Linked DNA regions of Arabidopsis thaliana. The protein of the gene in region 1 interacts with the protein of each later gene in a pairwise test. Each region holds a gene or a part of one and is shown in the gene's direction. Other genes may lie near its edges. The genes, in order: bZIP44 and BZIP9.

The links.
Region 2: the proteins of bZIP44 (region 1) and BZIP9 interact in binary tests that used the Arabidopsis thaliana proteins (3 or more experiments, as listed by UniProt).

Annotation. Positions count from the first base shown.
Region 1 is NC_003070.9:28,289,547-28,293,517, forward strand, and holds bZIP44 (basic leucine-zipper 44), read left to right. Parts: upstream 1-2,151; 5' UTR 2,152-2,677; coding exon 2,678-3,199; 3' UTR 3,200-3,462; downstream 3,463-3,971. UniProt on the Arabidopsis thaliana protein: Transcription factor that binds to the DNA G-box motif 5'-CACGTG-3' of MAN7 promoter. Involved in the positive regulation of seed germination through MAN7 gene activation.
Region 2 is NC_003076.8:8,513,196-8,517,345, forward strand, and holds BZIP9 (basic leucine zipper 9), read left to right. Parts: upstream 1-2,004; 5' UTR 2,005-2,063; coding exon 2,064-2,177; intron 2,178-2,282; coding exon 2,283-2,373; intron 2,374-2,470; coding exon 2,471-2,642; intron 2,643-2,734; coding exon 2,735-2,810; intron 2,811-2,888; coding exon 2,889-3,014; intron 3,015-3,091; coding exon 3,092-3,346; 3' UTR 3,347-3,474; downstream 3,475-4,150. Other genes in the region: AT5G24810 (ABC1 family protein), read right to left, coding at 3,707-4,150. UniProt on the Arabidopsis thaliana protein: Transcription factor.

The DNA of each region.
Region 1 (3,971 bases):
AAATTAGTTAGGTGAACTAGTTTTATTGATAATTTATTTGACATAATAAGTAATAAACATTAATATTAAATAATATTATCTCGGCTATTATGGTTGTATGATTTTTATTTTTTTGTGTGTGTAATACTATATATAAAATAAAACAGTCTCTACATCAGTTTTTATTTTATGAAATTAGATGTGATATGCCTGTTGCCCAAAAAAAAAAGAAGATGTGATATGCCTTAGTAGAAAGCAATAACAACAATCTTTTTGTTGAATGAAAAATTATTGAGGTGACGATTATTATTTTTATGGTAAGTGGTAACCATTTGTATTTTAGACATTAATTTATAGTGGGATCTTTTGCCTTTCCAATACATGTCGCATTTTTATTTATTTATTCAATTGATTTTGCGTTATGATAAATATATTTGAGATATCTTAATTAGTTCGATGAAACCTTGGGTATCTGAAAAATCTTCGATTTTGTAAAGAAAATTATGTTTCTGTATCGAATAAAATTAATTTTTCATTTAAAATGAAAGATTTTTTAAAAAAATAAGGCCAAATAAGCATTGTGTGAAGAAGACAAATTAGTACAAATTACTTTTTCTTACCTGTTGCAATGTTTGCAGGGACACATTCATTAATTGGAAATACCTAATTAACGTTAGACTTCACTTATTCGATTGAACCAACATTTTTTCTTTTTAAAAATCCATTTTCAATAATAAAATGACACGTGTCGATCTTACATCTCAACTGCGATGTTTGACATGGGTCCACATGCGCACAGAGCACGCACTCTTTGCATTGCAATTGCACGTGAGATGTCCGTACTATGACGGTCCATCTTACATAATTTTCCTATTCAATTAATTAAGCTATATATATATGTGTGTTTTACAAAATTTAGTATATAATATTATTGTAAGTTATAGAGCTGTAGATGAGTACGTATTATTCTTATTTCAATCTTTTTATGAGATTTATAGATATCAAAGTTTTGCCGAAATGTTTGATTAATTACGAGCTCGAGGATGAACAAAAAAATTTGGTAAAGAGTTTCTCACAAACCATTTCAGTTAAAGCACCAAAACCAAATGATTAAGTAGTCATGGTCCACATGTAATATGTTACACACAATAAAATTATTTTATAAATTGACACGAATTTACGTCTTGGATTCTACAATCCAATGTTATGTAACTATACGTACCACAACACGTCGGTCACATGAAGTTCAATGAGTTAAAGTTTTTGACACCCTTAATGTTTAGATAATGTATATATGTTCTTCTTTTTGTTGTCAAATAGTAGTTTTTTACCGTACTGTAATTTACTCGTTTAAAGTTTATTGTTTTTTCTTTTTGTCTTTTCTTTTCGATATGTAACTTGATATTTTATAGTGGACTCCAAAACGTTATAGAAATATTGTAAAGATAATAATAGTTCTAATTTTGATGCTTCATACGGCGATAAATTCAACGGCTGGTTAGTTGATAGTTTTCTAAACTATTAATTTATTATCCTAAATATATATATTATTTTTTTGGACAGCGAAATTGATTGAATTATTGACAAAAAGATATATGTATAAGAAATTAAATAACGAAAATACCACCTCTACCCTCATTCATGATTTGTCTCATGCTCCAGGTGTCCGTTGCTCAACGGTTAATTCTGGTACTTTGGGCGGTGATTTTGATGTATTAAAAAGAAGTCGAGAACCAACGACAAAAGTTTCAATTATTCTTATTATTATTATCTTTAAGATTCTTTAGCAGTAAAAGTTAGCATTAATACAAAACTATTATTATCAGTGTTACTGTAATATTGTTGAAAGCCATCATTTGACCAAAATTAATTAAACGCGTTGTTTTCATCAGAGAATAAAATTTGAAGATTTTAAAAATCAAAACTTTTCACAAAATAGGATACCCAATACCGAAGATTCTTTCCTTTTCCATATTAAAAATGTCTAAAAATAGTTATTGGTTAATTATACAGAATCATTAATTTACAATTAAACCCATACACATAAATATATAAATAAAATATTGCAAAACAGCTGTAACTTGACTGTTTCGGAAAATCCCACTTCACATGCTTCATCTCTCAACACCTTCTTTCTGATATTCACTTTATACTCTCTTTATTTTCTTATTAAATCTAGTATGCTCTAAACCCTTTTTGCTAACTCTATAAAATCCCCTCACAAATCCTTAATTCACCTCTTCCCCTTCGCTCTCGAATCAATCACTCTCTCTTCTTTAGCGTTTTTATTTTGTCTTCCTCGTTTTCTTCTACCTTTTTATATTTTCTCTCTTTTCAGTTTTCTCTAGAAAAAAACACTAGTAATCAGTTTGCGTTTGATAAATATTTGATGTGGCAAAACTCTTGTGGATCTTGATGTTCAAACATTCATGTCTCCGGTGATTAGTGAAATCCTTAGATCTGGTTTAACTATAGACTCGTCTCTTAGACGCAGGACCCATCTTGTTCAATCTTTCTCCGTCGTCTTTCTCTACTGGTTCTATGTTTTCTCATAAATCAGCTCTCCTTTAGCCCTTTATTATTATATATTCTATAACCATAATAATATATTAAAACTATATACTATAATCTTTTTACATAATAAACTTTGGGTCCTGCGTCTTAATCATAGTACTTAATTTTCTCTGTGTGTTTTAATATGAATAATAAAACTGAAATGGGATCTTCCACAAGTGGAAATTGCTCGTCGGTTTCAACCACTGGTTTAGCTAACTCCGGTTCAGAATCTGATCTCCGGCAACGTGATCTAATCGACGAGCGGAAGAGAAAGAGGAAACAGTCGAACAGAGAATCTGCGAGGAGGTCGAGGATGAGGAAGCAGAAGCATTTGGATGATCTCACTGCTCAGGTGACTCATCTACGTAAAGAAAACGCTCAGATCGTCGCCGGAATCGCCGTCACGACGCAGCACTACGTCACTATCGAGGCGGAGAACGACATTCTCAGAGCTCAGGTTCTTGAACTTAACCACCGTCTCCAATCTCTTAACGAGATCGTTGATTTCGTCGAATCTTCTTCTTCAGGATTCGGTATGGAGACCGGTCAGGGATTATTCGACGGTGGATTATTCGACGGCGTGATGAATCCTATGAATCTAGGGTTTTATAATCAACCAATCATGGCTTCTGCTTCTACTGCTGGTGATGTTTTCAACTGTTAGAAAACTTCACATCATTATCATCGTGAGTGAGACTAATCATCGCAGCAGGGGTAAAACTGTAATTTTTCTTATAAATTATGTGATGATGCTTTGTTTCTTTATTTTATAAGATGGTTAATTAGTGTTTAAAACTGATTGTAATGATAGACAGTGTAAGAAATGTGTGATATCATGGAGATGGTGATGTGAGTTTGGTACAAATATTTTAAGATCTTTTCTTTCTATATATTAAAAGTGAAGAAATAATATTTTGTCATTTTCTTAGAGTTTTCTGTTTCCTTATTTGGGAGTTATTGTTGCTCTTATTAGAAAGATGAAATTTTGGCTATTAGTGAAATAAATGAAAATAATGTGAAAGCTCGTGGACGGTTTTTGTAGATGGCGGTGGTCCATTTAAAATACTATATAGAAATGGTGTGTTGTGATTATTGTGTTAGAGACTATATTTTCCCGATGTGATAAAATAATTATGCATTTTGGTACTTACATCAAAATGAGTTGTTATCATGGGTCACTCGAGTTTTTTTCTTTTTTAAGAATTTTATACCATCTCCATCGAAGTATCTGATTGAGATACTCATCAAATAAATAATAATTAAAAAGAAAAAAAACAAGAGAGAAAGAAAGAAAAGTGGCGAACCGTTTCTGGCAAAAGAGACGATTCTTAGCATTTATTGAGAGTTGTCATTCAACTAATGGTTTATTTACTTTAAACTAATTAAAATATATTAATTTAATTAAAATACTAATTTATTTATTTTTTGAGATATTC
Region 2 (4,150 bases), on another chromosome or scaffold:
TGCTTTTATGAACTTTTATTATTTGTGATCTTTAACCTCTAGCTTCAATCTCGTTCACGTCATACATGATCTTTTACTGGAATAATATTTTAAATCTGTAACCAGAAAGATTCTAAATATAATTACTACACTAAATATTATAGTATCAAAAATAATTTTTAAAAAAAAAAAACAAATAAAGATTCAATTGGTCCCTCAAAACTGAAACTAAAGATTCTAGTGTTTTTTATTTGGTCACATAAACTTTGATAAAATTCATTTGGTCACGAGAATTCTTGTTTTTGTCATGAATTTTAAATGAGAATTTTTGTTTGTTCTATAATACTTTTATCTACCCATGACCAAAAAATATACTAACACAGTTATATGATTTGAAAAGTAATTTCTGAAAACTAAATCACCCCAACTACTCTAGTGATCACTAGACATAGAACAACGTCTTTTTTTTGTTTCTCTTTTCCTTTGTTTATAATTCCTTTCATCTTCTTTTCTTTTTCTTTGCAAAACCTCGTTTGGAGATTACAAGTAGAGTTTGTAGAAACAGAAAAATTACTTCTTCTTTTTTTGCTAAAAGAAAACAAAAATTACTTTTGTGTTCATAAACTAATTTTCATTCATATTTTCTGTATTTTAACTTACAAATTTAGCATGTGCCTCAAGTAGAAATTCGTTTCTTACAAAAAACGTATATCAATCATCATCTAAATTACATGAAAATTTTCAACATCACTAAGGATTGAATTTTAATTGTACTAGTTACTATGGTTACTGAATTGTACTGTAGTCGGTAGATTGTAAACATTGTAGTCCACTATAGGTTCGAAAGTTCTAGTTAGTGAGAAATAATAATTTTAAAATGCTTTTGGATTCTATTTTCGGATCTAAACAACTTTTGTTTGTTTAAAGACACATTACCTAGTTTGTTTCTTTTTATTGTTTTGTTGTGAAATATTTTAACTTTTTAAAGGAAGTGCAGATCAAAAGAAAGAAAAGTTGGTTTACGCATACAAAAGTTGATGAAATAAAAAGTATTTCTGGTGCTGGAGGAAAGAAATGTCTTTTAGATCTGCTTTCCAAAAGCATATGGCGAAAAGTAAGAGTAAACAAAGGACGAAGCATTTTGTGTTGTTCGTGTGACCGGAAAATTCTTAAGTTTTTCTTTTTGGTGTTGTAGTAGTAATGAATGATAATAAATATTTTAAAGATTTTTACTACATGATACAAAGGTGTAAAAAACTGAAACAATATTATCAATATTTTTCCTTCAAATATTATCAATTATTTATGAAGATTAGTTTTTAGTGTTTTATGAAATTATATATTCGGTAAAACATTTACCGTAAAAGGTTAATTTATTCATTTTCAATGTTTTTGTAGTTTCATCATTGGACTATGCCCCTTGTATATTAATCTTAAATTAGTCGTTAAGTACTTCAAATTCGAATTCAAACAGGTTATGTAGTAGAGTAATTTATGTAAGTGTAAGGTTCTTGACATGTGCCAAGAATACAAATGTACATGAGTGACAATATTATTATCTAAATATTTTCAAATATTTAAAAGCTTATTTCGAAATATTTTAGGATCCTTTTATGAATATAAGCTGCTTATATATATGCCTATAACATTCATTTTCAAATCAAAAGCTCCAACATATTAATGAGCTGACAAACAACTTAATGTTTGAATTCAGATATGATTTATATTGAAAGAGTCTCCAGCTATCTTAGATAGTCTCCCTAGTTAAGGGATTAAAGGTTATCATTAGCATATAATTGGTACCATAATATTCACCAATACTACAGAGCCTAATATACATCTCTGTGGCTTTGCTTTTCTATTCTCTTTTGTTATTGTTGTCATTAAAGAAAAAAAAAGTTGGAAATGAGGACGTTGCATTGACAATGCAAATTCAATTTTGCTTAGCCATTAAGAAGCTTTTTCACAACTTTAGTAAAGAAGAGAGACTTATATAAAGAAGATGTCTATCACCACTTACTCTTCCCCTCTCCTCTCTTTTCCAACCAATTCTCTTCTTTCTTGTGTGTTCACATTCAAAGAAAATGGATAATCACACAGCTAAAGACATTGGTATGAAGAGAAGTGCTTCTGAGCTGGCTCTACAAGAGTATCTCACTACAAGCCCTCTAGACCCTTGTTTCGACCTCATGAACCGGGTTAGTCCTTTTGTTGTCTCTCTTATTCGTATCATTGTTGCTTGTGTCTATATCAAGATCCAGAGATATTGTAGTAATTAAGAGTCTAGTTTCTTTTGGTTGTAGGATTACACTTGTGAGTTAAGAGATAGTCTTTTGTGGTCTGAGGGATTGTTTCCGGCTGGACCTTTTCGCGATGCACAGTCCTCAATCTGCGGTATGTGCATGTCTCTTTGATTTGACTCCATGTAAGTAATAAGTGTTGTTGCAGTTGATATTAATGTTCACTACTTGTGTGGCTCTTATCTACAAAGAGAATCTGTCAGCTGATAGTCCAGTGTCAGCCAATAAACCTGAGGTAAGAGGAGGAGTTAGGAGAACCACAAGTGGATCTTCTCATGTTAACTCTGATGACGAAGATGCCGAGACAGAAGCAGGGCAATCTGAAATGACTAATGATCCCAATGATCTGAAACGTATTAGAAGGTATGTTAGGTACCAATAAAAAAGTTAGATGTAAAACACTGAGATAGAGAATCACCAATTCTTCTTAATCTTTTTCTGTGATGTGAATTCAGGATGAACTCAAACAGGGAATCAGCAAAGAGGTCGAGGAGAAGGAAGCAAGAGTACTTGGTAGATCTTGAGACTCAGGTAAGGTTAACAAATAGCTTGTTGGATGATTTGTATCAGAGAGTAATGTTTTAATGGTGACCTTGTGTTTTCTTCAAGGTTGATTCTTTGAAAGGCGATAACTCAACACTGTACAAGCAGCTCATAGACGCAACACAACAGTTTCGTAGCGCTGGAACAAATAACAGAGTTCTCAAATCAGATGTTGAAACTCTGAGAGTCAAGGTATCATCTATCACTTGCTCTTTTCAATTTGGGAAAGTAATAACCGGAATGTGCTAAGTTAAGTAAATTCTATATAGGTGAAACTAGCAGAAGATTTGGTAGCGAGAGGGTCACTCACTAGCAGCTTGAATCAACTTCTACAAACTCATCTAAGTCCACCATCACACTCCATCAGCAGTCTGCACTACACGGGAAATACCTCGCCCGCCATTACAGTCCACAGTGACCAATCTTTGTTCCCTGGAATGACACTTTCTGGACAGAACTCAAGCCCTGGACTTGGTAATGTATCCAGTGAAGCTGTTAGCTGCGTCTCAGACATCTGGCCATGACTCTCTTTCTTCAGAACATGTAATGATCACTCAGCGAATTTCCTGTATGTGTTTCGCTATAGAACTAGAAACATATAATGAAAGCAGCATGTTCGTTAAATAAACTCAAGTTTCGTCAACATATACTTAATTGCTCCAAATCCTGCAGATTGTAATCTGGAAACTGAAGCATGTATAGGCCAATAAATTACATTCTCCAAGGAAATTGCTTAAATGTGTTCGCTTAAGTAAGTATACAGACAAACAAACAAAAACACTGATCCATTACACTTTACTTTCCAGCAATTTCTATTAGCTATTTAAGGCGACAGCTATGCATGTTGTAACATGAGCAGACAAAACTTACGTCGAAAACCAACCTCAGTTGATTAGAGGCGTACCCATCTGCGAATCTGCACCTATATCAGTTGCGAAGTCCTTAGGCAATGGGATATTTAATTCCGAGCAAACAAGCTTCACAATATTAGCCGTTACACCTCCCATAGACATCTTGTTCAGTGTTACTGCAATGGAAAATCTGTTGTTGATGTCACAGAAGCCTGTTGATCCTCCTAACCCTGAATGTCCAAAGCCAACCAGAGACCCATCTTGAGAAATGGCGCGCTTAAAACCAAGCCCAAACTTTCCATCAGGCACTACTAAGCCACTGTAGTCTCCAGCACCCATGAAAGCATCATGGATCCTCGGGTTGCTAAACATATTATGAATATCATGTTGATGATCATCGCTATTGATCTCAGTTTTGCCAGCAGAACTGTTAGTATCAACTAGCCTGGCTAAACTTTCTGTATTTGACTCTCTGCT